4 linked regions of the Alligator mississippiensis genome follow. The protein of the gene in region 4 purifies or fractionates together with the protein of the main gene of each other region. This does not show direct contact. Links are inferred from orthologs where the notes say so. Each region holds a gene or a part of one and is shown on either strand. Other genes may lie near its edges. The genes, in order: HOMER1, TMOD1, GSN and DBN1.

Region 1 (7,732 bases), on a different chromosome or scaffold from region 4:
ATTTGTATATTTAGGTACATTAATATTCTGTGCCACTATTTGACCAATTTCACCAAGTGAAAATACCAATTTCATGTTCACAAATCCCTGAATGAGACACTGAAGGTCATCACCATTCAGTGCTGAGTTCACTGCTCTCACTCTTAAGAACAGGCGACTTTTTGCTAGTGTTTTAGGACACACACTAATTGCCTTTTTGTGATGCTGTGCAGTCTGGCAAGAGTCACATTTCCACCTCACATTTTTGCATCGCCATTGTGTAAAAGTATTAAAAATATGGTACATTTTTAGTTTGCTATACTTTTATTTGGTGTATTTTATTATATGTTGTTCACAGTCCATCCACATTGCTGTTTCCTTTGATTAATTCACTAGGAAGGTATCCTGAACCGATGAGTTTTCAAAAGGAACACTACCTAATAAAGGAGAATTTTGTTCTTTTAAAAAAAATTCCTTTATGTGGCTTTTCCCTTACATTTAATAGTAGACTCCCAAAGTAGCCTAGAACCTGGACAATTTCAACTCATTTTGTGAGCTGCTTAGATTGCAGGTTGGTGAGGGTAAAGTTTTTCCAAGAGAGACCATGTGATTTCAGAGCTTAGACAGACTTGTGAGAAATGTCACCCCATCTTACCCCTGTAAGAAAGAACTTCTGGAGAGAATTATAAATATGAGAAGTAGGCTTCTGTCATGGAATGTTCTCTGCATCATGTCGGAAAATGCCATACTCTTGCAAACAGAATTGATATAAAAAAAAAAAAAAAATACAGAAGAGGAATGAGACTTACCATCTCAATTTGTTTAATAAGTGTAATTATGTATAAATCAATCAAACTGCCATTTAACTCTGAAGCTGCAAGCAGATGAAACCTTAAAACTAGTGTTACTTTGGAAAATTAAGTATTGTATCCAATTAACTATATTAAAATGTAGCCTGTTATACACCAGTCTACTTATATAGCGGAAGAGTAGTAACAACCATTTTAAAATTTTAATCTGTGCCTCTCTTTCACGGATAACATTACAGCAAATAAGATCATTTATAGTGCTACAGGAACAGACGGACAGATGGAACAATTCAATTGGGCACCCGAGGTATGCCCTAGAGCAGGAAGTGCTCCTCTTCCTTGACAGAGTTCAAGAGGTTCATCTGTCCATACCCTGGAAGTGACTAGAAACATATTTAGGATGTTGCATATATCTCCCACTCAGGGGTCCACAAGTCAGGCTAGATGATTTCTGATACCACATTAGAACCAAAAAGCCAACTGTCTCCAAGAGTCGTCTCCTTGAGGAAATCCAGACAACTGCCTTTAGTGCGTTTACCTAGATTTAAAAGTATCCTAATGGAGATAGCCAGGTCCCTGTCTTAGCTGCACTGATCCTAAAGAGCCAACAGGAGTAAAAGGCTGGTTGCTGTTTATGGAGATTCCCTGCTGTAGCTACACTACCGTAGTGACTGGGGCAGGCACCCCAGGGTGCCGACATAGGGAAACAGGGGAGGGGGCAAAACCATCCGCAAGCCACCCCAGGTACCCAGCTGCCTTGTTATGCCTCCACTACCTTCGCACAGGGGCCCGAGCAGTTGGATTAAGGTGGTGCCTGCCAATCCAGCTCGAAAGGGAGCCCCAGCAGGAGAGGCAGGGCCGCCCACCCGGGCCCCTTTTCTTCCCACCCTCCTGCCAGGTTGCAGACCGCCGCCCATGCCAGCGACCTCCCGCCACCCATCGCGGGGCCGGGGCCGGAGCCAGCTCTGCCGGGGAAGCACGTGCAAGAGTAAAAGCCGAGCGCTGGAGAAGAGCCGGCCGAGCAGGGGCAGGAGGCAGCGCGGCCCGGCTCGCCCGGTCGGCAGAGACCCGCGGAGCGCAGGAAGCCGCCCTTACCCCATGGTGCCCGCCGGAGGCTGCACGGAAGTTGCTCTCGAGCCCCGGTGCCCAGAGGCGTCGCGGCCTCGGCGTCGGTCGCCGTCCGCTGTGGAGCCCGGGCCGGCCCGGCCCGCAGGAGGCCGCCCGCTCGGGGGCGGCGGCGGGGCAGCGCTGAGCGCGGCGCCTACAAGCTGGGCGCCCCCCGCTCCCGTAGCGGCATGTGCGGCCAGACGCAGCGCGGGCGCGTCCTAGGCGGCGAGCCCGAGGGGGCCCCGCGGCATCTCCTCCTCCTCCTCCCGCCGCGGCAGGGGCGTGTGGCTCGCAGCCGCCTCCCCGCGCTCGCCTGCGGCACCGGCACCACCGGCAGCGGCAGCAGCAGCAGCGGCGCGACGCGACGCGCTCGGCCGGGCGCCCCGAGGCCGCCGCCGCCGCGCTCAGGCGCGGAGCGGGCCGGGTCCGGGCACCGCCGCTCGCTCTAACAGCCCCGCCGGCGCCGGCAGCGGCCGCGGCTCATCCTCCCGACGAGCGGCTGGAGGCGGAGGCAGGCGCCGCGGCACCGGCGCGGGCATCGGGCTCCGGCGAGCGGCGGCGGCAAGGGTCGCTCCTCCGCCGGCTGCAGAGCGCGGGGCGCCGCTCCTCCTCCTCCGGCCGCGCTCAGGCGCGCCTCCTCCTGCAGCGGCGGCCGAGCATCCTCCTCCGGATCGATCCCGGCGGGCGGGGGCGGCGCCAGGCCCCGCTCCTCCTGCAGCGGCTCACGGGAGGGCCGCCACTGTCCGGGCGCTCCGCTCCGCTCCTGCTCACGCCCCCTCCTCCTCTTCCTCCTCCTCCTCCTTGCGCGCCCGCCCCCGCTAGCGCGCTCCCTGCCTCCCCGGCCTGCCGGCGCCTCCACGCCGCAGGGAGCCCGGCGAGGCGCTCCTGCTGCCGCTGCCGGCGCCCGAGCGTCCCTAGCGCGCTGCGCCGCGCGCCCCCCTGCGCCCGGCCGGCCGCGCTCTCCCCGCCGCTGCACCTGCTCGCTGTGTCTCCATCCTCCGCTCGGGACCTTTAAATAGGACACGTCACCGCGTTCCCCTACGCACTGGCGTCACACACCGCTCCCGGCGCTGACGTCACCGGGGTGCGGGGGATGATGTCAGAGTGTTCCACGCTGCCGGAAGCGCTTCTATAATAGGCAATAGTGCGGGGGCGGGAGGGAGGTGAAGGGAAGCCTCGGCCCGGCTGCCGCCCCCTCGATGAGCTCCACACAGCCCTGGCTGCCGCCCCCTCTGTCCGGCTCCCCGCGGCGCTCCGCTTGGCTCAGAAACCGCATTCTTCTTGGCCCCGCTGTCCCGACAGCACAGCGAAACCAGTCCGCCTACTGGCCCTCCTGGGGAAAAAAAACCCACAAATTTAAGGGAGACCTAGATGGACCTCAGAGCTTAAGCATTCCAAATGCACGCGCCGCTGCCGCCGCCACATAAATATCGTAGCCCGAATGGAGAGTGCAGGTAAACTGCATCCGCTGCTCTGATCTTGGGGTGGGGGGTGGGGTTTGGTGCAGGCTGGCATGCGAGTATGGCTTAGAAACTTTTTGCTCTAACCACAGACCACACACTCCAAACAGAAAGCACGAGCAACTTCTTGTTTCACTGGGGAAATCTATCCCTGGGCACATCTGAGCCAACAGCATTAGAAAACGGTGCTTTGAATCCAACCCCACAAAGATCTGCCATGGAAATGTGGATCCAAAGTCCCATTGCATCAAGCTTGTTGCACAGTGATAGAGCTGCATTACAAATGAACACATCTAGCTTTTGGATACAGCTATGCTTAAGTATTCCAAAACCAAAATGTTACCAGCTAAACCCAGAGGAAGGGCAGAAACAACTTTCATTGTCCAGCAGATTCCAATGCCCTCGTGCTCTGCAGCCCAGAAAAGCACCAAGAGCTTGCCACAACCTACTGTTCTTCCCCCAATCCTGCAAGAATATCATCCAAATATAACATGTTGCTAACTCCTACATAACTAGAAAAGCTCAAGGTCTGACACATCCTGTTGCAAGTTTAACTAGTTTTACATTACGAGGCACCTGGTTTTCTTTCTAGATCCAGCAAAAATGTTCATAATTCTCTAAATTCTACTGCATATATACCAGGCCAACTGTAGCTGTTCTTAGATAGGGCTAATGTCAAGTGACATCAAAGACTTCTAAACCGTGGTGTATTTTTGAACTAACATCTTATATTAGACTGCCTTAAATTTTCCCATAAAAATAATACTGAATGGGCAAGGAAGTATCAATGGAACACGATAGTGATGTGCAGTCATAGTAAAATGCTGGGGTACTTGCACATCTTACTACACTCACAAAATTAGAAAAACAAAACATGAGACGACAAAATTAGTTCATAACTGTCCTTTAATTCCCTCTATCCTCACATAAGATATTTAAGATAGGGCAACAGCTCCAGTACATCAGACTGGATATGTACATCAGTGTACTCCGGTTTGACATTTTTAAGCAGTAGCAGGATTTTATTGAACTGCCTGGCATTCACAGAGCATTGATGGACACTTTCTAAAGGAATATGTAGATATTGAGGTAAAACACCTTCCTTAATATTTTGATCTAGAGCAGTAACTGAATATAGACAAAGAGGACTCCTTACACAAGAGGATGAAAACAACTGATTAAATAAGGGAAATCTTTTCCAAACAAAAATAAACACAAAAAGCCTAGTGTGAATCATTCCTATCAGCAGCACTGAGGTGTCAGGCAGATTTCATCACAAGGCAGGAAACAGCAGTTTCAGATTCCCACTCTGTCCTTTTATTTAGAAGTACAGTGTAGGCACTCAGCTCTGAAACCTTCAGAATCAGTGGTATCAATCTGGAATTTACTACTCTCCAGGTTCAAAGCAGGTATATTTATGAATAAGCGGTGAAGAACTTTTGTGCCTGAAGACCAAGCAGCCATGTATGCAACACTTGTTGTCTATTGTAACAAATAAAGTGCTAAAAATTAACTAAAACTCTAAGATCTAAGCAATGCTATGCAGCACCTATTTAGTTCTTTTCTCCCAGCTAGGTGTCCTGGATCTAAATAAAAATCTTATAGGATTTGATGATGTCCAAAGTGAGATATTTCAACCTTTCAGAGTTGGCTCAGCCTTTCAAATTTGTTCATTTTTTTTGGTTTGTATGAATTCTGATGCTGTTTTCCCACCTAACAGTGCAACAACAAAAGTTTGAGAGTCTGAACAACAACAAAAGAAATCAAATTCACAAGCCAAACCTTGAGGGAAAGAACTGCCTATTGTCTTGGGAGTCAGATCTGTGAACAGGTTCAAAGTAGGAAAGAGATCTCCAGAACACATCCGCTTGGGATGCCAGGAATCTAGTTTTTATGAAAGTGTAAGATGTCACACTTGTTAATATTGCTCTTTAAGTATAAGACGCCTACTTATCTGAAACTTGGGAGACCATCCCCTGTTTATATATGTGAAATGTTCATATATGCAAAATATTGGAGACACAAGACATTTATAACATAGAACGGGATTAAAATAGGGAAAAATAAAAGCAAGAGACCATACTCAACAGTCCAGATAGGTTATAGTATTATGAGGAAGCTTAGTACAAAAACCACATGCAAAGATATTCACTTTTTTGCATTTTTGGTGACCATGTAGACGTTCATATTAAGTGGAATTCAGACAAGCTACGATCTAGTGTAATAAGTATAAGCAGCAAAAAAATCCTTACCGAGGGAACAGAAACATTGGATGCAGGATGTTATGCATAGCAAATCTCATAGTTAATCTCTCTGTCACTGAGATCTTCATTTAAACAGTAATACTTCATCATCAGTACAGTTTATCATTTTAAACTAACAGCTTCAAATCATTGTCTTCCTTTGCCTTCTTCATTCCTGCTAATCCACTTGCTATCTAATCATAATACATAGCTCAGCTAAATTAACATCTCCAATCTTAAGCTTTGTTTACCTAAATAAATTTTACCAATTTCTAAATGGATTTGGCTAATTTAGTGCATTTCTCTCACATGAACAGGCCTTCATTTACTCCTGCCAAATTTAATTAAAGTTACTTTTCTGCCCTGCAGGGTTTTTGGTAGTAGCTGTGTAGATCTAAGGACACAGGCAGGCAAGCTTCTTTGGATAGATGTGATATCTTTTATTAGACCAGCTAAGTAGTTGGAAAAAAAAGTTCTTTGCAAGCTTTCATGCATAAAGAGTCTCTGCTGTTCTGTTTTCTACCTTCCAATTTCCACTAACCAATGCATGAAAAACACTGCATTATTAATCAAGGTTGACATTTATTTATTCATTCATTCATTCAATTTGTATAGACATAATATACTTAATATTAAACAAAAAGGTAAGAAAAGAAAAGGTAAAGGAGCCAACAGTACTCCTCCATCTAAAGATATATACCTCACCATGTACATAAGAAATTGTGCGTAACAAACTTGCTGACTGCAACAGTAGAAATATAGAAATGTGATTAAATTAATAGAAAGTGTGAAAACATGCACTTAATCTGGAGAAGAGAAGACTGAGAAAAGATCTAATAACAGCTTTTATCTATCTGAAGGGTGGTTCCAAAGAGGATGGAACTAGCCTGTTCTCAGTGGTGGCAGATGACAGAACAAGGAGCAATGGTCTCAAGTTGCAGCCAAGGAAGTTTAGGTTAGATATAAGAAAAAACTCTCTCACAAGGAAGGTAGTAAAGCACTGGAACAGGCTACCCAGAGGGGGTGTGGAATCTCCATCCTTGGAGGTTTTTAAAACCCAGCTAAACAAAGTGTTGGGTGGGATGATATAGTTGGGGATGGTCCTGCTTTGAGGTTAGATGACTTCCTGAGGTCCCCTCCAACCCTAATTTTCTATGATTCACTTAGGAACTAACAAGAATTTCTCATAGAATTTGGAAATGACAAAGGAGGAGAAAGATCAGGTTGTGTCAATCTGACTATGAGCCACTAAGGCTATGTATCCATGGAAAAACAAAAAAAGGAAAATGCAACCCTAAGATGTATCCTATTTAAATGCATCCAGCATTTCCAGTTGGGAGATAGAAGCATGAATGCCACTGTATGAGGTACGGAGAGACCCAATCTTACATACTGCATATAATTCTTGTCACCGATGTTCAGGAAAAGTGCATTCAAATTGAAATAAGTGAAGAGAAGAGCTATAAGGATGATCACAGAACTGGGGAGCCTATTATGTAAGGGGAGAAAAACAGCTTGACTTGCCTAGTTTTGTAAAGCAAAGACTAAAAGGGATGTGACTGCTCCTGTCAGATATTTCTAGGAAGAAACATGAGGGAGGGAAAAGACCTATTTAAGCTAAAGGACTATATTGGCCCAAGAAAGATGTGTATAAGCCAGCCATGAGTAACTTCACTCATTCGAAACGGAAGAAAGTTTCTAACTGCCAGAGTGGGGTTCTGGAACAGACTACAAAGTAGAGAGGACAAAACTAACTAGTTTTAACATAGATTTTGATCATTTTTCTGAAGGAGGTATATGGGCATGTCTATTAGTACACAGCCATGTGTAGAGTGGAATAGAGATATCCAAGGTTGTTAGGGAGCCATAGCAGTATAGCCACACTCCACTTCCCAATAGCACTGAGTAGCTCTGGCAGAGTTCCATCTTCTGTACTGCTCCATGTACTGCTTCCGACATATAGGATAACTCATTCAGGGTTCACTTGGCGATACTACATGACACTAAATTTTGCCATCATGGGATACCCTATACAACATGGTAGCAACAGCATAGCAAGTGACTAGACCAATGACTGTCAGATAGGGTACTGTGGCACCTCAGTGGGCTGGGAGATTCTTTTAAGGGGGACTGC
Region 2 (7,603 bases), on a different chromosome or scaffold from region 4:
GAGGGGTTGTGGGTTGGATGTGAAGAGCACTGGCAGGGCCAAGGGGGCTGTTTTCTCCTTAACTATTTCCTGGGACAGGCCTGGCCATCATTGTTTACAAATGGGTCCGGGTACAAAAAACGGTTGAGAACCACTGAGTTAGAGCCGCTGTTAAAGTGTGTTGTTCTTCGTATTCACATATGCCTGTGTTTACTGAACTGGGTGATGACTACAGAAGTGAAGCTAACCAGTCTCTAGCTGGGTCACTTGCTGCTCTCTAAACTGCTGAGTCCTCACCTGTGTCCTTCCCCCAGCTGTTCCAGAACAATCGAGTTCTTAAAAGCAGTTACCGACTTCAATCTGTTCTTCTTGAATTCTGGGGACCCTCCTTCTATTAGTCATATGTTGCCACTTCTCCTTTTTTCCCTTTGGCCTCTTCAGTGCCAGCTTCTCAGGACTCGTATCCAAGAAGTCTTTATATTCCCTGATAGTGCACAGTGTGGATACCTGTGCTTCCAGCCCCTTGATTTGTTCCTTCAAGACAGACACTAGCTTATAATTGGTGCAGATGAAATGTTTTGATCCTTTGGGAGAACACAGACAAGGCATATCCCCCATCCAAGTAACAACTGATCCAGTCTCCACTTGTGCCTTCTATGCTCCCTGGGCAACACCTAGGCTATAGGAAGCAAAAAAAATAAAGCGGGAGGGGGGAAACCAACCCACACCCATGTGTGTGGCATGCACACATTCATTCACACATGCACAAGCACCCAAGAGTATCCTGCTCCCTCCTGTGATGACTCCCTCTCTGCTTGCTTCTCTGTTCACAAGGGGCTGCCTTTAATAAGCCTGGGCATGTCTGGGCCCACCCTTCAATTAGCCAAAGCACCCTCTATTGAGAGAAACTACACACAGAGCTTTGAGCCCAAATCCTGCCAAGCAATCACTTTGACACAGGCACAATTCAAACATACAGGTACAACAACAAATCAGCACCCCTGAATTTCTGGTCTTTAGACCATCAGCTCTCAGAAAAAATCTTCACACAGGGAGACAATCTAGCTTCAGTTGTCCAGCAGCCACAAAAAAAGCAGGGTGGGGGAAGGGGGAGATGGTTTGGGGGGGAAGCTATCCAAGCTGTCATTGGGCTAAAACCCTATGGAAGCAGTTAGTTGCAATTGAAGTTCAGCAGTTGAGAAGAAATCATAGAGTTGAGAAGCAACAACATCAAGGAACCAATATACAGGGACAGAGGATGTAAGGTGCTGGGACCTAGGAGATCTGATCTAATAGTCAGGCCACTGGGGGAAGGCAGGGGCCAGGGTTGGTTCAGAGCTCAGAAGTTACATTACCAAATCCAGAAGAGAATCCAGGGGCAGACTCCACAACACAAGACCAAGGTCAAGGTCCAGGAATCGGATGCTGAGTTACCAAATCTGAGATACAATCCACAGGGCCAAGTCCAGAATTGGAGCCAAACCAGAGTCAGGAGCCAGAAAACAGATCCAAAGGAAATCCAAAGCCAAAATCCAGGAACAAGTCAAGACCAGGGGTGCTTATACACATGCAGCAAGGCTGCTCTGACGCACTGCAATCACAGCATGTTGGAGCAGACTCAATTGAGTCTGCTGGAGTGCAGTAATTACCATGCTCCAGAAGACTCCAGCATCACGTGTATCAGCACCCCCATGCTGAAAAATGGCAGCAGGAGGCACTTTAACTAACACTTGTTTAAGATTTACTTAAAACGCCCCCACTGCCATTTTTCAGCGCAGAAGATGCTGATACACGTGACACTCTGGGCGCTCCAATTTAAATGTCCCCCTGCCCACTCCCAGAGCATGTGTGTATAAATGCCCCAGGAGGCTTACCAAAGGAAACTGGGTCAGAACTGTTGGCTAGCCTGGAGGCAGATGCCACAGGTGGGACCTGTGGCAACTGGGGTCGCCCCCAGTAGCTAGTCAGGAAGCCAGCCAATTAACTAGCTGGGACAGAAAGCAGTGAGCAGGAAGGAGGTTCCATTCCAGCAGGCTGTTTATGAACAAAGCACCCCTCACATTGGCAACAAGCACTGAGTATATACTTTCTAACAGGTGAGCTCCACTGCTCTAATGGGATAATACTGTGATCAAAGTAGCCACTAATATCATTACTGGGGAAATACTACATGGCACATAATACAGAGTCATGGAGAACACAGATGCCACATGTGTGAAGAGAAGCATGGATTTTACTGGACCAAGCATGTAGTTGGGATCAAACTGGACAAGCTTCCGAATGCAAGGCACAATCAGTGGCGACGTGTAGGGGGTGCACAGGGGGTGCATGTGCACCCCCTGAGACCAGCGTTCCCAGGCAGGGGGGCAGACGAGAGCGCTGGTGCCCCCCCCCCCGAGTGTGCCAGGAGAAGCGCTCCCCCCGCAGCCGATCCTGCTGGGGATCCTGCTGGGGATCCTGCGTGCCACTGCCAGTTGTGGGTCAGCAGGATCAGCCGCAGGGGCCCCCCTCTGCTCACCCGCGAAGTTGCCTCAGCTCAGCCCAAGCCGGTGCGGGGCTTTCCCGGCTCCACCCGCCTCCTTCAGCGAGCCCAGGACTGGAGAGCACGAGCCGCCCGCGGCCACCGCGCAGCAGGTGCGGGGCGGAGGCGGGCGGGGGCGCAGGGAGCCGCCGGGGTCGCACACGGTGGCGGGAGCCCGCGGCCCGGTGTGGACGCAGCGCGGGCTGCCCCCCCACCCCGGCCCGCCCGAGAGCGGCGCCAGCAGCGGTGGCGGCTATTTATAGCCCCTCGCAGCCCTCGGTGACAACTGAATATTTTGCCCAGATATGGGCGGGAGCAGCGCCCGCAGTCCCGGGGCCGCACCGGGCGGGGGGCACCGCCGCGTCCCGCCCCCCCCGGGCTTACCGCACGGCTCCGGCTCCTCGCCCTCGCCCCCACCTCGCCTCGCCAGCTCTGCCCGCGCCGGGGGCCGAGACGCGCGCCCTGCTCTGCGTGCCCGGCGGGAGAAGGGGCCCGGCCGCTGCACCTCCCCGCGCCTGTCACTCAAGCGAGGGGAAGGGCCACCGCCGGCGCCGCCGCTCCCGCCTTCTCCCTCACCCCCCGGCCCGGCCCGGCCCGGCCCGGCCCGGCAGCCAGCTGCTCGGCGCCGCTACGGCGGCATGGGGCTGCCCCGAGGTGCAGTCATCCATACCCTCCACCGGGTTGCTGCCGACTTCACCACCGCCTCTCCACCCGCAGGTTTCCCTCGCTGTATGCGGGCCCTGTATGTGCCCGTTAGCTCTTCGGCGCTGACCCTTTTTACACCAGAAATTCGTCGTATGCGCGGTAAATTCACCCTTATCCGCCCCGCGCGATGGCAGCCCGCAGGCAGCCGCTTTGTGCGGTGGGACACTGTGGGCCTGACACGCACCAGCGTATAGTCGGATATACGCTCCTGTATAGTGACAGTAGTGTACCCTACACGTAAGGGTTTAGGTGGCTTGATCATTCAAGGTCACCCATTTCAGTGAGTAAATGGAGGCTCAGTGAGTAGTAAATGTCAATGTTATGCATAATAACAATAGCGTTTATGTACGATGTACACAATATTTCTCACCCCAACCCCAGATCAACTTGCATTTAATTATGGCCCATTCTCCAGTCTTCTGTGCCCCCTATATTGACAAGTTCACTCCGTGTCCTCAACCCCTATTCCTAGTCACTGATCAACTTGACCAGCTTCTTGAAGCCTGCACCCAAAGTTAACTACAAAACCCCACAAAGAATAAATCCCGTCTCACACCTGACTAACTCCCCACAGCTCACCATGAAATGCCTACATTTGCACCTACAGCAAAAGTGGGCAGAAGCAAATATCTACTGCCAGAAGGATCCTCAGAGAAGTGCATAAGAAGTTTATCTGCAGGATCCTCAACCACACAGAGATGGCAGCTCCTCCATATACACAAGATCTGGAATAATGTGCCCTACTTTTAGCATCATCAGATCAAGCTATAATTGCTTTCATCACATCAAACTCAAGGTTCATTTCATCAAACTCAAGGTTAAAGACAAAGTTAGAGATCCCCAATTGGCTCTGTCTCTTGTACTCACCCCTTAGGATTCTAGCCTGGTTCTGCAATAGAGTAGATCAGTATCAATGCACCCTTTCAAAAGTTCAGTGACTGCTTTTCCTTTTCCCTTCCACAGCCCCTGAACTTGCCACTTGAGTCAACTCCAAGGATAAGGCTGAGGGGCAGGGAGTGTGTGTAGGTAACAGCTTGCTGCTTTGCTAGATCTGAGAGGTGCCTTGAATAGTGAAACAGAAGAGGTTAGTTGTGGGAAGAACAAGACAGATGTGAATACCGATAACAGGGAATGCCATTTGGGGACAGAACGCTAAAGATTATGTTTGGTAGTTAAAGAAAAAGAGAGAAGGCAAGAAAGGGGAATAACATTGAGGACTTTTGCTAGTTGCTTAACCATAGTTCTCACACTCCCCAACCACCATGAATCCTGGAGACACCCATGCTTGTTTAGGCACTAGAAGCAGTCTTCCCATAGGGCTTGGCGTGCCACATGGGCAAATTTATCCTGCCAGTAAATTAGCCAGTACTGAGCAATTGAGACATGAGAGCTACAGAGATCAGTAGCCCACAGTGGAAGCTAGATCACAAACAGCAGCCTGTTGTTCAAGGAGGCCATCAATCCCTGTTCTAGTCCAGTCATCCACACGCACAAAGCCCGTGTGTTTTTTGGGAGGGACTTTTTTTATTTTTGAAATTTATAGCTGAGTTGTTAAGGAAGAAATCTGATGCGGGGGGTCACTTTTCTAATCTTGGCTTTGGCTGCCATCTTTAAAAATGGCAGCCATGACTAATGAGATGAATAAATGTCAATATCTCAGTACCTACGAAGCCAATTTTGATTTTCTAAATGTCTTTAAATAGGTATTGCAATAACCTACAAATCTTCTTTGTCTTTTGATGAGTAACGGCCCATTTTTTGGCAGCTCCAACCCTTTAAATGCAAACAACATTACTTTTTAAGGCATGACATATAGCCTAGAATGGTATCTGCTCTTAATGTTTTGGTAATCCTATCCTTTTGTGGTTACATCTCATCTACATTACTTTTTTATTTCTTCTTTAGTGAAGGAAGAGAAAATGAATAGTTAAGAACAACGGATGATAGAACAGGGACTGGAACTTCCCAGCAAACCAAGAGGCTAGCACTTGTAGTTGCAGCACTGCCAAGAAAAAGCCTAAAACTTTCAATAATAATGTGTGTCATATGTGAAAAAAAACTTCAACATCCAAAAAGAACCCCTTACAGCAACTTTCCCAGGATACATGGAATAAACCTGCACAAAGAGCTCAAGAATGGAAAGACTTATGCACAAGTTTTGATACGCTTTATGAGCGAATACAGGTCAACAAAATAAGCCAAAGAAAGTGCATAAAAACTGTAAGTTGAATGTTGTAGGCATTAACTTGAAGTGTGCACAAGAGGCATACTATCTGTTAAGTGTTGCAAGAGAGACTTACTGATGAACCAACTGAATCACGAGTAAGAAGTAGCTGAGAATGTCCCTTGTTAGCTAGGGGCAGGGTCTGAGCAGTGCAGAGAGAAGCAGGTGGGGGTGGAGGAGGTGCTGCAGACAGGCCAACCTAGCCAGACCCTTGGGAAGGCAGCAGCTGGAGGAGAGAAGGGGCTGGGTGGGAAGTGGGGGCTACCCCTGGGCTCTGCAGATTCAGGCCATGGTGAGCAGGTAGTGGTACCCAGTGGCACCTGAGGTGGGGTCCGGCCCAGCGAGGCCCATGCAGCTCCACAGGGATGGGGCTGAGTACACGCCCAATGCTTGCCATGGTGCTGGGACCTGTGGCTGCTCCAGAGAGCCCAGAGCAGCAACTTAAAAAACAAAATTTTTTTAAACAATTTCCTCACACGCCTCTTGGCATGACAAGAAAAATGGCTCTGTGTGCCACTAATTGGCATGCATGCTGGGGATTGCCTAGCCCTGCTCCATGATCCTTGTGCAAGAAGTTTGAAGATCATTTTGGAGAAGATGCTAGGTTTCAGTGCAGGTATCATAGAAATTATTTGTCCATAGTTTATTCCCCCAAGCATGGAGAAGCATATGTTGAAAGTGCAGTGAACAGTTGGGGTATAGACACTCCAAAACTGGTATGGACTGTAGCCAAGCTTCTTTACTCCAAGCATCAGGCAGAGGCTTGAATCCCATGGCCATATGGAATCAGCAAACTGAAAGAGGACAACACACCCAATTACATTCATAAACTTGTGGCATTACTTGCTAATCTTCATTCTACATTTAAAGAAGGTCCTGTGCTGGTTGTAGAACAACTGCTACCAGCTGTACATTTTCTGTCTGAAGGACTATTGCACCTAATCACAGGAAAATTACAGCCAATGTAAGTCACATTATCTATGTATGGTCACAACATGACGGGTAATAAGCAAACTCATCCAAATCCTGAAGGAAATTAAACTTGGCATTTCTTATAACCTTGTTCTTGATGAACTTTCAGCATGGACACTGCAGGAATGCCACGAATCTGACCATAGTTCAAAACTTACAGTAGAGACACCACAATAAATTCAGCATGGTCAGTTGTATCCAAGTGAAATTAAAGGCCAGCCTTGTACTGTTGTCATGGATAATGGTGATTTCAATGAAGATGGGTTAGCAGGCTCCAAAATAAGCTATTATACAAATGTAATTATGGCACAACCAATTTAATTTCACCAAGAATTAACCATTTCAGATACAACAACCTTGGTTATACAAAAACCTGATGTTCAGAAAAGTTTAGTCAGCCCAGTTATCGCCAAAAATTATGGGCTTAGTCAGCCCAGTTATCGCCAAAAATTATGAGCTCAACCACAAGCACAAAGATTCAAGGTTAGTTTTGATGGAATAGTGGTGCACTGGCCCACACACTTCTTGAAATGATGCAACCACATGGAAAGGTCCCAAGCATTTAATGGATATCATTGCGGTCTTGAAAGAAATGTCTTGAAGTGGGAAACATACAATGTTAAATGTTATGCACAGCCTCCAAGCAGAGAGCCAAAAAGTTGCTGACCTGGAGATACCAGTGATTCAGTTGGTTGCAGATCAAGCAGTGTATAGGTATATTGAAGAGGCCCTTCACAAAGATTGTAGAATCATATAAAATAAGGGTTGGAAGGGACCTCAGGATGTCATCTAGTCCAACCCTCTGCTCAAAGTAGGACCATCCCCGACTAGATCATCCCAGCCAAAGTTTTGTCTAGCCAGGTCTTAAAAACTTCCAAAGATGGAGATTCTACCACCTGTTCCACTGTTTCACTACCCTTCTAGTAAGAATTTTTTTCCTAATATTTAACTTAAACTTTCCTTGCTACAACTTGAGACTGTTGCTCCTTGTTCTGTCATCTGCCAACACTGACAATAGTCTAGTTCCATCCTCTTTCAAACCCCGCTTCAGGTAGTTGAAGGCTACTATTAAATCTCCTCTCAGTCTCCTCTTTGTCACAACCCAAAGTTGTGAGTTTTTGTTTGTGTGCGCTTCGGCAATGCTAAATTGCAGTTTCCTTGCACGGTGGAGTTCTCTGCTGCAGAAGAGAACTCCGGTGCAA
Region 3 (7,016 bases), on a different chromosome or scaffold from region 4:
AGGAATAGCTTCCTTCCCACCACAACTCCACAGATCAGATCACATCCTGCACTGCGCGTGCACGCACACTCACAAACGCACACACACGCAATCATCATCCTACGTCAACGCACAAAGCGATGCTTGCTTGAGGCGGGTCTTTCAAATATTAAATATTAATTGCTGCCTTCTGTACGGCGTAAAGTTTTACGGTTTTGTTAGCTTTTCTCCTTTTATAGCAGCAAGGCTGAACTCGCTCACACTGGCAGACGCAGTGACAGCTTGCGAGCTGCCAATATTGACTTATAAACGTACAGAACATCTCTAGGAAAACAGGGCTTTGTATTCAAAGGTGTTAGACAACCTGCTTTTCAGACAGAGGTAGCAGCGCCGGCTCTAGTTAACGTGGTAAGGACCATGGAGCGAGCTTGTGACACACCTAGTGCATCTCCCTGCTAGTAGCTAGTACGATACGCACAGCTCTGGGAGTGGGAGTAACACACCTATTCCTCTAGCTCAGCGGGCACAGCTCTGTGCTTTGGTGATGCCAGGACTAGGTTCAAATGCTGCTTGTGCTACCGGATTGCAATCGGTACGGTAAGATAATGGTGAAATAAACCCAAGTCTTCTTGCCTTGCCACTTAGATAGTGTCAAGGCGGGATCGCTGGCTCCATTATATTCTTAGTAAGTTGATCACCAACCAGCTGCAGAAGATTTCGGGCTTCATGGTGATACGTGCATTTTACAAGTCAGCTTTATGGGGAAGCTTTGCAAAGAGGTGGATACCAACCTAATTCCCACTAAAACTGCCTGGGAGCTGGGCACCTAACAGCCAGCTGTGTATGGCAATATCTTCTGCTATCGCTTTCACGAACTTATTGACATTTCACTTTCAAACTAGCGGATGAAGCAGCGTGACTGAGGAGGCAGGACTACACTCCACGCCCATCTGGGCCTACCGAAGTTTCCAGTTATGACACCTTATCTTCATACTGAGTTCCAGCGAGCCCTGTGGCACGATTCCCACTGACTCAGAGAGAGCAGGATCCGATCCGGCTGATAAAGATTAACTCTTGAAACCAAGCTTTGCTCAGTTTTGAGTGCCAAGGACTCAACGGGCTGCATTCTTACCACGAGGCGTGGAGACCATAGGGTGGAGTCCGGGCTAGACCTTGAGATTTATACTCAGTGCATACTCTGCCAGGCTGCACAAGTGCAGCTGAAATGCTAGACGCCGTCGGGCGGAGATGTTAAACTGGGATCCCTTCTGCTTCCCTCCGACAGCTGCGCAGGGAAAAGTTAGACAATCGCATGGTACTTTATAGAAGGGACCAAGGAATACATTTTCTCCAGGATAATATTAAGGAAACTGGTTGTGATATCTGAGGTTGTGAGGACTATTCCAGGGCTGCTTCGTTGGCCTAGACAGTCATTGCAGAAAGAGTATTTAACTTGTTATTTTGTTAAGATAGTTTGGGAAACCTGGAGGATGAGAGATGCTAGAAGAGCCCCCCGTTCTAGTCCAGGGTAGGAGCACCCTGCGCCGAGCCATGCCATCTGTCCACAAAGGGACATTTATTGCCAATAAACTTGCATCATGCATAAAGCTGGCCAGGGAAGACCCCAAGAACGGCCGTTGTCAGTCAGAGGACTAGCAGATTTGGGAAGAAGGATACCAGGATCCTTGTTAGCAAAGTTGGATTTTTACATCCAAAAGCAAGTTAACATTCAAAGCAGTTTATTCAAAGAGGATCTACTTACTAATGAGGCCTCCTTGAAACAAGTCATCCCCATAATTTTTTTAACACTCTTCCTAGGAAACATTTTAAATAGGTTTAAGTGTCTGCAATTTTTGAATTTCTGTTCAAATAGTGCTTTCAAAATATATTCATCCAGGCAAAAAGATAAACAAACAAAGCCCCCCTATTCCCAGCAGTAATGTGAAAAGACTTGTGCTATTTTTACCAGTCTGGCACATGTCCTAAATCAGAGGACAAGCCTCTGCCAGCTGCACAGCACTGCCCAACCACCCATACAATCTGCACAGGCTTCTTATTGATCGGGTTTCCAAGAAGAGCAACGGGATGTTACGGAGCAGAAGCTCCTTCAGGACTTCTCTGTCTGCTCACATCGGGGTGCTTTTGGCTTCGTGCAATCAAACCCCCTCTCTGCAGGGCAGCGAAACACTGTCAGTGATTTAAAACGACAGCTTCAAAAAAATAAATAAAATCGCACTCCCTGAAATACAGAAGCTAGCATGCACAGACATCACAAAATACGTGGCAGTGCGCTGCTGCACGCCACGCTGCCAAATCGGAGAGCAGAATGCCGCATGGAGCCTCAACACACAGTTCGTGTTCACAAGGAGATATTTGACTTACCCAAACTTTTTTTTTTCCCCCCTCTCTCTCTCTTTCTTCCCTGCTGAATTATAACACGACAAGAGACACGGAGCTTGGACAGGACCAGGCTGTCTAGGCTGCCAGCTTGCAACGACACATCCTATATCGCCCCACGTCACTTCTCCTCCTTCCCACAAGTTAATCAGTGCTTCCTCCCATCCCTGTGAATCGCTCCGTCTCACTTCCTTATGCCACGACAGGCACCGCTGGAGGGATGGGAATCGCCTAGTGGCACCTCCAAGTCAATCCTGGGATGCCAGGTCATCTCGAGGATGCATTATCCTGCATGGGCAGGCACACCTGGAGGTCTGGGCTCCACCCTGCCTTGCACACATGGGCATGGGGCTCCTGCTCCTGGCATGCACACAAGCCGGAGGTGCCCGGGGGCAGTGCTAACCACCCCCCCCCACTATCACCTGCTGGGACCTGCTTTCCAGCCCCCTCCCCGGGCATCTGCGAGCCCCTGCAAGCTGCTGCTGCCCCCGGGGAAGGAGGCTGGGGCAGCCCGGAGCCCGCACCTACCTGCGCGGCTGCGGAGAGGCAGGAGGCGGCGGCGGCTGCGGAGAGGCAGCGCTGGGGCGGGCCCGGAGCCGAGCTGGAGGGAGGGATGGAGGCAGGGCGGCCGCGCCGGCACCTCCCCGCTCCGGGGTGGGCAATGCTCGGCTCGGGGACTCACCCAGCACCGGAGCCGGGCACAGCCCAGGGGCAGGGGCATGCACTGGAGCCGGGCACAGCCCAGGGGCAGGGGCATGCACTGGAGCCGGGCACAGCCCAGGGGCAGGGGCACGCACCAGAGCCGGGCACAGCCCAGGGGCAGGGGCACGCACTGGAGCCGGGCACAGCCCAGGGGCAGGGGCATGTACAGGAGCCGGGCACAGCCCAGGGGCAGGGGCATGCACGGGAGCCGGGCACAGCCCAGGGGCAGGGGCACGCACCAGAGCCGGGCACAGCCCAGGGGCAGGGGCACGCACTGGAGCCGGGCACAGCCCAGGGGCAGGGGCATGTACAGGAGCCGGGCACAGCCCAGGGGCAGGGGCATGCACGGGAGCCGGGCACAGCCCAGGGGCAGGGGCACGCACCAGAGCCGGGCACAGCCCAGGGGCAGGGGCACGCACTGGAGCCGGGCACAGCCCAGGGGCAGGGGCATGTACAGGAGCCGGGCACAGCCCAGGGGCAGGGGCATGTACAGGAGCCGGGCACAGCCCAGGGGCAGGGGCATGCACCGGAGCCGGGCACAGCCCAGGGGCAGGGGCATGCACCGGAGCCGGGCACAGCCCAGGGGCAGGGGCATGCACGGGAGCCGGGCACAGCCCAGGGGCAGGGGCATGCACCGGAGCCGGGCACAGCCCAGGGGCAGGGGCACGCACCAGAGCCGGGCACAGCCCAGGGGCAGGGGCATGCACCGGAGCCGGGCACAGCCCAGGGGCAGGGGCACGCACCAGAGCCGGGCACAGCCCAGGGGCAGGGGCACGCACGGGAGCCGGGCACAGCCCAGGGGCAGGGGCATGTACAGGAGCCGGGCACAGCCCAGGGGCAGGGGCATGCACCGGAGCCGGGCACAGCCCAGGGGCAGGGGCATGCACCGGAGCCGGGCACAGCCCAGGGGCAGGGGCATGCACGGGAGCCGGGCACAGCCCAGGGGCAGGGGCATGCACCGGAGCCGGGCACAGCCCAGGGGCAGGGGCACGCACCAGAGCCGGGCACAGCCCAGGGGCAGGGGCACGCACGGGAGCCGGGCACAGCCCAGGGGCAGGGGCATGCACCAGAGCCGGGCACAGCCCAGGGGCAGGGGCACACATCGGAGCCGGGCACAGCCCAGGGGCAGGGGCATGCACGGGAGCCGGGCACAGCCCAGGGGCAGGGGCATGCACCGGAGCCGGGCACAGCTCAGGGGCAGGGGCATGCACGGGAGCCGGGCACAGCCCAGGGGCAGGGGCATGCACGGGAGCCGGGCACAGCCCAGGGGCAGGGGCACGCACCAGAGCCGGGCACAGCCCAGGGGCAGGGGCATGCACTGGAGCCGGGCACAGCCCAGGGGCAGGGGCATGCACGGGAGCCGGGCACAGCCCAGGGGCAGGGGCATGCACTGGAGCCGGGTAGAGCTCAGGGGCAGGGGCATGCGCCGGAGCCGGGCACAGCCCAGGGGCAGGGGCATGCACCGGAGCCGGGCACAGCCCAGGGGCAGGGGCATGCACCGGAGCCGGGCACAGCCCAGGGGCAGGGGCACGCACGGGAGCCGGGCACAGCCCAGGGGCAGGGGCATGTACAGGAGCCGGGCACAGCCCAGGGGCAGGGGCATGCACCGGAGCCGGGCACAGCCCAGGGGCAGGGGCATGCACCGGAGCCGGGCACAGCCCAGGGGCAGGGGCATGCACGGGAGCCGGGCACAGCCCAGGGGCAGGGGCATGCACCGGAGCCGGGCACAGCCCAGGGGCAGGGGCACGCACCAGAGCCGGGCACAGCCCAGGGGCAGGGGCACGCACGGGAGCCGGGCACAGCCCAGGGGCAGGGGCATGCACCAGAGCCGGGCACAGCCCAGGGGCAGGGGCACACATCGGAGCCGGGCACAGCCCAGGGGCAGGGGCATGCACGGGAGCCGGGCACAGCCCAGGGGCAGGGGCATGCACCGGAGCCGGGCACAGCTCAGGGGCAGGGGCATGCACGGGAGCCGGGCACAGCCCAGGGGCAGGGGCATGCACGGGAGCCGGGCACAGCCCAGGGGCAGGGGCACGCACCAGAGCCGGGCACAGCCCAGGGGCAGGGGCATGCACTGGAGCCGGGCACAGCCCAGGGGCAGGGGCATGCACGGGAGCCGGGCACAGCCCAGGGGCAGGGGCATGCACTGGAGCCGGGTAGAGCTCAGGGGCAGGGGCATGCGCCGGAGCCGGGCACAGCCCAGGGGCAGGGGCATGCACCGGAGCCGGGCACAGCCCAGGGGCAGGGGCATGCACCGGAGCCGGGCACAGCCCAGGGGCAGGGGCATGCACGGGAGCCGGGCACAGCCCAGGGGCAGGGGCATGCACCGGAGCCGGGCACAGCCCAGGGGCAGGGGCATGCACGGGAGCCGGGCACAGCCCAGGGGCAGGGGCATGCACCGGAGCCGGGCACAGCCCAGGGGCAGGGGCATGCACCGGAGCCGGGCACAGCCCAGGGGCAGGGGCATGCACCGGAGCCGGGCACAGCCCAGGGGCAGGGGCACGCACCGGAGCCGGGCACAGCCCAGGGGCAGGGGCATGCACTGGAGCCGGGCACAGCCCAGGGGCAGGGGCATGTACAGGAGCCGGGCACAGCCCAGGGGCAGGGGCACGCACGGGAGCCGGGCACAGCCCAGGGGCAGGGGCATGCACTGGAGCCGGGCACAGCCCAGGGGCAGGGGCATGCACAGGAGCCGGGCACAGCCCAGGGGCAGGGGCATGCACTGGAGCCGGGCACAGCTCAGGGGCAGGGGCATGCACGGGAGCCGGGCACAGCCCAGGGGCAGGGGCATGCACGGGAGCCGGGCACAGCCCAGGGGCAGGGGCATGCACGGGAGCCGGGCACAGCCCAGGGGCAGGGGCATGCACGGGAGCCGGGCACAGCCCAGGGGCAGGGGCATGCACGGGAGCCGGGCACAGCCCAGGGGCAGGGGCACGCACCAGAGCCGGGCACAGCCCAGGGGCAGGGGCATGCACTGGAGCCGGGCACAGCCCAGGGGCAGGGGCATGCACGGGAGCCGGGCACAGCCCAGGGGCAGGGGCATGCACTGGAGCCGGGTAGAGCTCAGGGGCAGGGGCATGCACCGGAGCCGGGCACAGCCCAGGGGCAGGGGCATGCACCGGAGCCGGGCACAGCCCAGGGGCAGGGGCATGCACGGGAGCCGGGCACAGCCCAGGGGCAGGGGCATGCACCGGAGCCGGGCACAGCCCAGGGGCAGGGGCATGCACGGGAGCCGGGCACAGCCCAGGGGCAGGGGCATGCACCGGAGCCGGGCACAGCCCAGGGGCAGGGGCATGCACCGGAGCCGGGCACAGCCCAGGGGCAGGGGCATGCACCGGAGCCGGGCACAGCCCAGGGGCAGGGGCACGCACCGGAGCCGGGCACAGCCCAGGGGCAGGGGCATGCACTGGAGCCGGGCACAGCCCAGGGGCAGGGGCATGTACAGGAGCCGGGCACAGCCCAGGGGCAGGGGCACGCACGGGAGCCGGGCACAGCCCAGGGGCAGGGGCATGCACTGGAGCCGGGCACAGCCCAGGGGCAGGGGCATGCACGGGAGCCGGGCACAGCCCAGGGGCAGGGGCATGCACTGGAGCCGGGCACAGCTCAGGGGCAGGGGCATGCACGGGAGCCGGGCACAGCCCAGGGGCAGGGGCATGCACGGGAGCCGGGCACAGCCCAGGGGCAGGGGCATGCACGGGAGCCGGGCACAGCCCAGGGGCAGGGGCACGCACCGGAGCCGGGCACAGCCCAGGGGCAGGGGCATGCACTGGAGCCGGGCACAGCCCAGGGGCAGGGGCATGCACGGGAGCCGGGCACAGCCCAGGGGCAGGGGCATGCACGGGAGCCGGGCACAGCCCAGGGGCAGGGGCATGCACGGGAGCCGGGCACAGCCCAGGGGCAGGGGCATGCACTGGAGCCGGGTAGAGCTCAGGGGCAGG
Region 4 (7,533 bases):
CCACAGCTACACCGGCATCACTGCCCTGGCCTCTTGCCCTGCGGGGACGCTTGGCACACGGTCACTGCTCAGGCGCTGTGCGGAGGGGGTGGGGGCTTGGCCCGGGATGGCCTTGAGCCAGCCCAAGGGCTGTTGCCCGCGGCTGCCGGAGGGGAAGGCGGCCCCCGGGCCAGCTGTTCTGCTCTCCCTGTGGCCATGGCCTGGCGGGCAGAGCCCTCTGACCCCTGGCACCTGCCGCACTGTAGGCAGGCAGCTGGCAGAGCCCCGGGGCCTTGCCCCAGTCCCTTTGTGCTGATGCCCCCAGCCAGCCAGAGGGGCCACGGTGTAGGGGCCCCGGCTGGCAGGTCCCACGTGGCCTGGGGCAGCCTGGCCCAGCTGCACCAGTGTTTTGTAGTCCAATAAACGTTCCCGTCCTCATAGCTGCCTCTGCCTCGTCACTGCTGTGTGCGGCCCTCTCACCCGCTGCCTTTGCTGGGCCTTGCCTTGTCCCCGCGCTCTAGTGGAGGTCGTGCAACCCCTGTGCCGCCTATGTCCCAGGGAGGGGCCCTGCTCCCACTGCTGCTGCCATCCTGGGGGTCTGGCCCTGGGGACGTGGGGCCTCCCCCTGCCAGAGCTGGGTCTGGAGTATCCCCTGGGTGCCTGGCCACCCTTCTCAGCCAGGGCAGGCACCAGGACTCCTCCAGCCCCCATGCCATGCTCCACACTTCCCAACCCAGGGCTCAGGCCCTGCTGCCAGGTGGCTCAGCCTGTGTGTGCACATTTGCCCTCCCCTTGCCCGTGGCCTCCTTGCAGCAGCCACAGTGCTGCCGCAGCCGCTCTCTGCCCAAGGCTGGTGCTTTACCCCGGGCAGCCGGGGCGCTGGCATCGGGGCAGGTCCCTGGGCCACTGCTGGGCCTGCATGTGCTGGGAGGGGAGCAGCCCTCACCTGCGGGGCATCCAGGCTCGAGTGCAGGCAGGCCATGCATGACTGGGCTCTTTGCCGGTGGGGGGGTCTGGGACGTACGCGTGGACCCGGCACCGCAACGCAAGGACACAAGGTCTTGCACAGCACTGGCACCGTCACAATGCACCAGACCAGCCACCAGGGGCAGTGCCCCACAGCGGGGCGGGGGGGGCAGGCTGGGGTCCCTGGGGCGGGGGGGGGCTGGGGCTGCCTGGCCGGGGAGGCCAGATGCAGGCTGGATTAACGGGTTGCTCTGTAGCCAGGTCCCCGTGCCGGGCCCGCCTGTGGGGGCAGCACCAAAGGCGGAGGCTGGACCGGGTGAGTGGGGAGCACGAGGCGGAGGCCCTGGGGGGTCACGGGGCCCGCAGCCCCGGGAGACGCCGCAGTGCGCTGTCCCCGGCCCCGCGGCCGCACCCAGCCCCGCCAGCCGCCCGCCCTGGGCCGTGGACGCAGCCTTCGCGGAGCGCTACGCCCCAGACAAGACCAGCACGGTGCTGAGCAAGCACCGGCAGCCAGCCATGCCCACGCCCGCACAGAGCCGCAGCTCCATCGTGCAGGCCGCGCAGCAGCCCCCCGAGCCCGCTGGCCGCACCCCCATCTGCTACCACTGCAACAAGGTCATCAGGTGAGTGCGCGGCCCAGGGTGAGGCAGGGGTCCGGCCCGGCCCCTGCCCGGCTCACCTGCCTCTGCCCTCTGCAGGGGCCGCTACCTGGTGGCGCTGGGACGCTACTACCACCCTGAGGAGTTCACGTGCTGCCAGTGCCGGCGCCCGCTGGATGAGGGTGGCTTCTTCGAGGAGAAGGGCTCGGTGCTGTGCCCGCCCTGCTACGACCTGCGCTACGCCCCCCCCTGCGCCAAGTGCAAGAAGAAGATCACGGGGGTGAGTGGTCTCAGCCGGGTGCTGCCCCGCAGCCCCCCGGTCCCCATGCCAATCAGCCCTGCCCTGGGCACTGCCCCCTGTCTTGCATGCTGCCCGATAGCGCTCCCCAGCCTGCCCTGCCCCCACCCCGGATCTGCCCCACTGCTCCTGGTGGCCCCCAGGCTGCAGCTCCCACCCTAGGCCCCTGCTCTGTGCTGTGGGGTCAGCTGGAGCCTCTGGCTCTGCCTACGGGGGCCTGCCCTGCTGCTCCCCGGGGGGCAGGGCATGTGGCTGACCCCCCGTCCCCCAGGAGATCATGCACGCCCTGAAGATGACCTGGCACGTGCAGTGCTTCACCTGCGCTGCCTGCAAGACGCCCATCCGCAACCGCGCCTTCTACATGGAGGAGGGGCAGCCCTACTGCGAGAGAGGTACGGCACGGGCATGGGGGTGCCGCCCTATGGCAAGCAGTGTATGTGCCGCCCCCCCGCCACCCATGCCGCCTGGGGGGGGTAGCCTCGGAGGAACGGCTCCAGCCTGAGCATCGTGGGGTTCCCAGCACAGCTGGGACGTGGCCATCCCGGTCCCGGTCCCCACCCCATTCCTGCTGCTGAGGGACGGGGAGGAGGGGCCTGGGCAGTGCCAGCACCAGCAGGTTGCCATGGTGATGGTGTAAGTACCTACATCAAAGCCAAGGGCTGCAAAGCATCCTGGGAAAGTGGCAGAGCAGAGGCCTGACAGCGCTGCTGCCAGGAATGGGGGGGAGGGAGGCTTTGGGCACCGGGACCAACTGCCCCTGCCCCAGCGCAGGGGAGCGAAGGGCCCAAGCATGGATCCTGCTTGCAGCCAGGCCCAGCTGCAAAGTCGTGTCCAGAAGCGGCTTGAGGAGCCTGCCTGTGGGCAGCCGCGTCCCCCTGCTCGGCTGCGGCCCCATGCTGCCCTGTCCCCCCAGATTACGAGAAGATGTTTGGCACCAAATGCCGTGGCTGCGACTTCAAGATCGATGCCGGTGACCGGTTCCTGGAGGCGCTGGGCTTCAGCTGGCACGACACCTGCTTCGTCTGTGCGGTGAGCGTCCCCACTCCTCCCGGCCTCATCCGTGGTGGTGCAGGTGCCCGGGGGCTCCAGGCAGCAGCTTTGCCCAGTGGTGCCCAGCCCTGGGTGGCAGTGGGGCAGGGTGGGGGGAGCAGGGCTGGCCTGGCCTGGAGCCAGCATTACCCTGGGGGTGGCGGTGGGCACAGGCCCCCCCCTCCTGACCGTGCTCTCCTACCTGCACAGATCTGCCAGACCAACCTGGAGGGGAAGACCTTCTACTCCAAGAAGGACAAGCCCCTGTGCAAGAGCCATGCTTTCTCCCATGTGTGAGGGGAACCGTTTCCCCCAGCCCGGCCTGCCCTGCATGCTTCTCTCTGCCCCTCCGCAGCCCTCGGGAACCCTGCCTGGAGCGTGGCAGGGGCCTGGCTGGACACACCTCTCCTCACCCCGTGCCGGCCCTGGCCTGGGGGTAACGGGTGCTGCTGCCAAGGACCCACCCTCCTCCATCCCCGCACCTGCTGCAGGCCCTGCATGGGGCTGGGCTGCTCCACACGGCCAGTGCATGGGCATGTGCCCTGAGCCAGCAGCTGGCCCTTGTGCCCCCCTGCCCTACACAGGGCCCTCTCTGCTGGGGTCCACCAGCCAGAGCGCAGAGCCCTGCCCCGGCCCTGCTGCCCCATGGGTGAGTGCAGGAGGGGACCCTGCAGTGACCACGCTTGTGCCACCTACTTCCCTGCCCAAGAGCCACTGCTCTCCCCACACCCACACGCACCCCTTCCCCCCGTGCCCAGCCGGGCTGTGACGTCGCGCGGAGCTTTTAGTGTCTCAATAAACACTTCTGTGCAAGTGCCGGTGTCTCCAGGGACTCTTCTTCATGCTGAGCCCAGTGCTGGCTTGTGCAGGGCAGCTGCGCCTAGCTCCATGGTGCCCGTGTGTTGGCAGCACCCGTCACTTCCCTGGGGACATTATCACCCCTCCCCACAACCACCCTGTGCAGAATGGGCCCTGCTCCTCCAGCGTGGGGCAGCCAGAGGCCTGGGCAGGCCCTGCCGTGGATGCACCAACATGAGCAGCCGGGCCTGGGAGAAGCCACGGGGAGGGACCAAAAAGGGGCCTGAGCTGCAGCTGGACAGTGCAGCAGTGCGGAGGGGCAGGAGAGACGGGGCTAGAGGTGCCGTGAGCCACTGGCTGGACAGACCAGCACCCGACCCCCCCCTGCCCCCAGGCGCTGAGCTGCAGTGAGAGGAGCCCCTTGTCCCTCGAACACAGCCTGGACATCTTGGGCGGGAGCAGACGTGGGGGGGGAGCCATGGAGCCGGTCCATGTACACCCCGGTGTTGGGGGGGGGGGTGGGGGGTGCAGACAGGCCTGGCCTGGCCCCAGCGGCAGGTTTCCTGGCGAAAGGGCACCCTAGGGACGAGTCCCGCGGAGCGGGGGTGCTGGCCCGGGCGCAGGCGGGGAAGGCTGTGCCCCGAGGAGGATGGAGCCGGGGCGGGTGCTGGCCCTGGAGCCGGCTGACGGCTGCACGCGCGTGGGCCGGGCCGCTCGGCGGGGGAGCTGGGCGCTGTCCCCAGGGCCGGGGCCGGGGCCGGTCCCAGTCCCGGTCCCGGGGGGCGGGGAGGGTGCGGGGCCGGTTCGGCGCTAGGACCGGGCGGCAGCGGCGGGCGGAGCCTCCCGCCCCCTCGCCCCGCGCCCGGCTCGGCTCGGCTCGGCTCGGCGCGGCGCTGCGGTGCAGTCTCGGCGGCTCCCGGTCCCGGTCCCGGCTCCGGCTCCGGCTCCGGCTCCGGCATGGCTGGCCCCGGCCCCGGCCCCGGCGTCGGCTTCGGCGCGCACCGCCTGGAGCTGCTGGCGTCCTACCAGGACGTGATCGGCGAGGACAGCCCGACCGACTGGTGAGCGCGGGGCGGCGCGGGCGCGGGCGCGGGGCGCGGCGGCTTTGTCCGCTCGGGCGCGGGCGCGGGCGCGGCCCCTGCCAGCGGCGCCGGGCGGGGAGCGGCCGGGCCGGGGCGGGGCGGGTGCGGGATGCGCAGGGACGAGGCATCGCGGCCGGGCGCCTCCACCTGCCGCCGGTGCGGGGCGGTGCGGTGCGGTGCGGTGCGGGGCCGGGCGGGCGGGCGGGCGCGGGGGGCGCTCCAGCAGCCACACAAAGGAGGGTGGGGCCGGGCCGGGCCAGGCCGGGCCGCGGGAGGGGAGGGGAGGGGAGGGGGCTGCGGGCGATGACGGGCAGGGGAAGCGCGGAGGCTGCTCCCGCCTCGCCCCGCAGCCCCGGCCCCGGCCCCGGCCCCGGCCCCGGCCTCGGCCTGGGCGTTGCGGGCACGTGCGCCTGGAGCAGCCAGCCCGGCTCGGGCAGCCGCTTCCCCTCCCCCCCCGCCCCGCCCGGCCCGGCCCCGCCCCGCCCCGCCCGGCCGGAGCCGCCAGAGCAGAAGCGGTCCCAGGAGGGAAGCGGCTCGGTGGGGGCAGGACGGGCATCCCCTGCTCGCCCTCTCGGGCCTGGCATCACCTCCCCTTGCACCGGGCGGCCGGTGGCCCCGGGGTGTTGCGGGTGCTGGCTCCTTGCGGGCCCCGCGCCGGCCGGGGCTACCAGGCTGAGCAGAGCCCCGGCTGCTGGCACCCGCGCAGCATCCCCTGCCCGCAGCACCGGGTCGCCCACGGCCGGCTCTGCTGGTCCACTCCCCGGGCCCCCGCATCACTGCACGGGGCCAGGGATGTGCTGGCATCGACCCTTGCTCACAGCCTGGCTAGGCCCGGCGTCCCCAGGGAGCCATCACTGGGCTCCTGCTGTGCCAGCTGCCCCAGAGCCCACGGCACAGGCACCTCTGCCAGCGTCCCCAGCCCCAAAGGCAGCCCAGCTGGAAGAGCCGGTTGCGGGGTGAGGGGGGCCGGGGGAGCGGCCGAGCCTGCCTGCCCACGGTGGGTCCCCAGGGAAGGCTGCGTGCGCAGCGCGGGCCGGGCCAGGCCGGGCTGAACAATGGGCTCCTTATGCCGCCAGACCCCAGCCAGCCGCGCAGCAGCTGCCGCAGCACTGGGGCGTGCGCTCTGCAGCGGTGCCGCCGGCCCCTCCCGTGCACCCCCGTCCTGCCCGGGCCCAAGGTCGCGGGGTCAGCGCAGTGCCGCCGCCTGTCTGGGGCGGAGGCCGCAAAGCCCGCGTGTGTCCAGCTGGCCGTGGCAGGCCTCTCCGGGAGCTGCTGGGGGGCTTCTGCTGCAGGGACCGCTCTGGGGAGGAGGGAGCAGGAGGTGGGGGAGACGAGCATCACTTGCTTGTCCTGGGCTCTGATCCCCCAGGCGCAGCCCACCCCCGCCCCGAGTTGCCCCCTGGGCGGCCAAGAGCCACAGGCAGCTTCAGGGCAGCGGTGGGGGTCGATGCCACAGTCACAGCCCAGTGAGATCAGGCATGAGCCGGTCTGCGGGGGGCACAGCCTGCACTGCTGCAGCCCCTGGGTGGGAGACCCAGCTGGGGGGCTGCAAGCTGGCAGTGGGGTCTCTGGGTCGGGGGTGTTGCCTCTGCTGCAGCAGCTGCAGGGCTCCTGGGGCCAGGGCCGGGCAGGCTGGGAGGGGAGGGGATGTTTAGTCTGGGGCTTCCCGGGCAGTGGCAGGTCAGCGCGGCCCTCCCCCGTCAGGGCCTCGCGGAGGCTGCCGGGCCCATTACTCGATAGGAAAGGAATTCGGCGCCGTCCTGCGCTCGCCCCCAGCTCGCGCCACATTGGAAACACATGTGTGCGTGGGGCCGCGGCCTGTGGCAGCTGGGGGGGGCTGCCCTGTGGACTGGGGCAGCCGGCGGGGCATGGGGCGGCAGCGACCTGGCACATCCGCGGCAGAGATGCTGCCCTGGCCCCCCTCCCTGTAGGAGCTCAGAGTTGCCCGCCCCCTTGAACCTAGCAGAGGCCAGGGCTGCCACGTGGGTCCCTGCTGCCACCAAATCCCTCGCCCCACCGCACCCCCAGACAATTACATCCTCGCCCTGGGGCTGCCCAGGCAGTGGCATCCCAGCAGGGCAAGTTCCTGGCTGCTGGGGATTTGTGCCCGGGCTGGTGCAGTGAGGCCCGGGCCCTGGGGGGCTCCAGCAGGCTCTGTGCAGCCAGGGGCCCCGTGGCTCCGTCGCTCAGAACCAAGCCCTTGGCCCAGCCCCGCAAGCTCGGAGCAGATGGCAGAAGCAGGACCAGCCTCCTGGGCCCGCTTGGGACTTGGCCAGGACCCTGGAGGTCTCTGGCACTGCCCGGCCTGGCCCTGCCCCAGGCGGCGCGGCTGGGCAGGGCCTCTGCCTGTGCCTGACGCTGGTGCTGGCATGTCCCCCTGCTCCCGCCAGCTGGCAGCTCCTGGCCAGGACCCCGCTGGGCTGGGCAGGCCGAGGTGTCCGGAGCAGCTGGCTGACACCAGCACTGCAACATTGGCCCCATGCCAGAGCCAGGGAGACGAGCTGCTAAAATTAGCTGTCCCTGGCGTGCGCGAGCAGGAGGTCGGCGGCACTGGCACAGCTTCACTGGGCAGGCCAGCCCCGGCCCTGGCCCCTGCCCGCCCAGCAGTGCCCAAGGCAGGCAGGGCTCCACGTCCCCCGCCACGTTACCCTTGCTCCCTGCCCGTTCTGCCAGCGCCTGCAGGTAGCGGCTCCCCGCGCTCAGCCCCAGCGGTCTAGCTGAGGCTTGGGCTCAGGCTCCGTGAGTTCTCTGCGGGGGCCAGTGTGGCCCCCCATCCCCACAA

The links.
Region 1: the proteins of DBN1 (region 4) and HOMER1 purify together in Homo sapiens (co-immunoprecipitation; 3 studies listed by BioGRID and IntAct, counting the BioPlex papers as one, with this or other methods). This does not show direct contact. The link is inferred for Alligator mississippiensis from reciprocal best matches to the Homo sapiens genes DBN1 and HOMER1.
Region 2: the proteins of DBN1 (region 4) and TMOD1 purify together in Homo sapiens (co-immunoprecipitation; 3 studies listed by BioGRID and IntAct, with this or other methods). This does not show direct contact. The link is inferred for Alligator mississippiensis from reciprocal best matches to the Homo sapiens genes DBN1 and TMOD1.
Region 3: the proteins of DBN1 (region 4) and GSN purify together in Homo sapiens (co-immunoprecipitation; 3 studies listed by BioGRID and IntAct, counting the BioPlex papers as one, with this or other methods). This does not show direct contact. The link is inferred for Alligator mississippiensis from reciprocal best matches to the Homo sapiens genes DBN1 and GSN.

What each region holds. Positions count from the first base shown.
Region 1 is NC_081826.1:257,687,964-257,695,695, forward strand, and holds the start of HOMER1 (homer protein homolog 1), read right to left. Parts: upstream 3,009-7,732; 5' UTR 1,889-3,008; coding exon 1,884-1,888; intron 1-1,883. UniProt on the Homo sapiens protein: Postsynaptic density scaffolding protein. Binds and cross-links cytoplasmic regions of GRM1, GRM5, ITPR1, DNM3, RYR1, RYR2, SHANK1 and SHANK3.
Region 2 is NC_081826.1:153,044,967-153,052,569, forward strand, and holds the start of TMOD1 (tropomodulin-1), read right to left. Parts: upstream 3,016-7,603; 5' UTR 2,885-3,015; intron 1-2,884. UniProt on the Homo sapiens protein: Blocks the elongation and depolymerization of the actin filaments at the pointed end. The Tmod/TM complex contributes to the formation of the short actin protofilament, which in turn defines the geometry of the membrane skeleton.
Region 3 is NC_081835.1:64,356,324-64,363,339, reverse strand, and holds the start of GSN (gelsolin), read right to left. Parts: upstream 3,012-7,016; 5' UTR 2,905-3,011; intron 2,619-2,904; exon of another isoform or gene 2,362-2,618; intron 1,794-2,361; 5' UTR 1,775-1,793; coding exon 1,742-1,774; intron 1-1,741. UniProt on the Homo sapiens protein: Calcium-regulated, actin-modulating protein that binds to the plus (or barbed) ends of actin monomers or filaments, preventing monomer exchange (end-blocking or capping).
Region 4 is NC_081832.1:79,418,169-79,425,701, forward strand, and holds the start of DBN1 (drebrin), read left to right. Parts: upstream 1-4,524; 5' UTR 4,525-4,626; coding exon 4,627-4,730; intron 4,731-7,533. Other genes in the region: PDLIM7 (PDZ and LIM domain protein 7), read left to right, coding at 1,203-1,568, 1,644-1,824, 2,114-2,234, 2,756-2,871, 3,082-3,168. UniProt on the Homo sapiens protein: Actin cytoskeleton-organizing protein that plays a role in the formation of cell projections. Required for actin polymerization at immunological synapses (IS) and for the recruitment of the chemokine receptor CXCR4 to IS.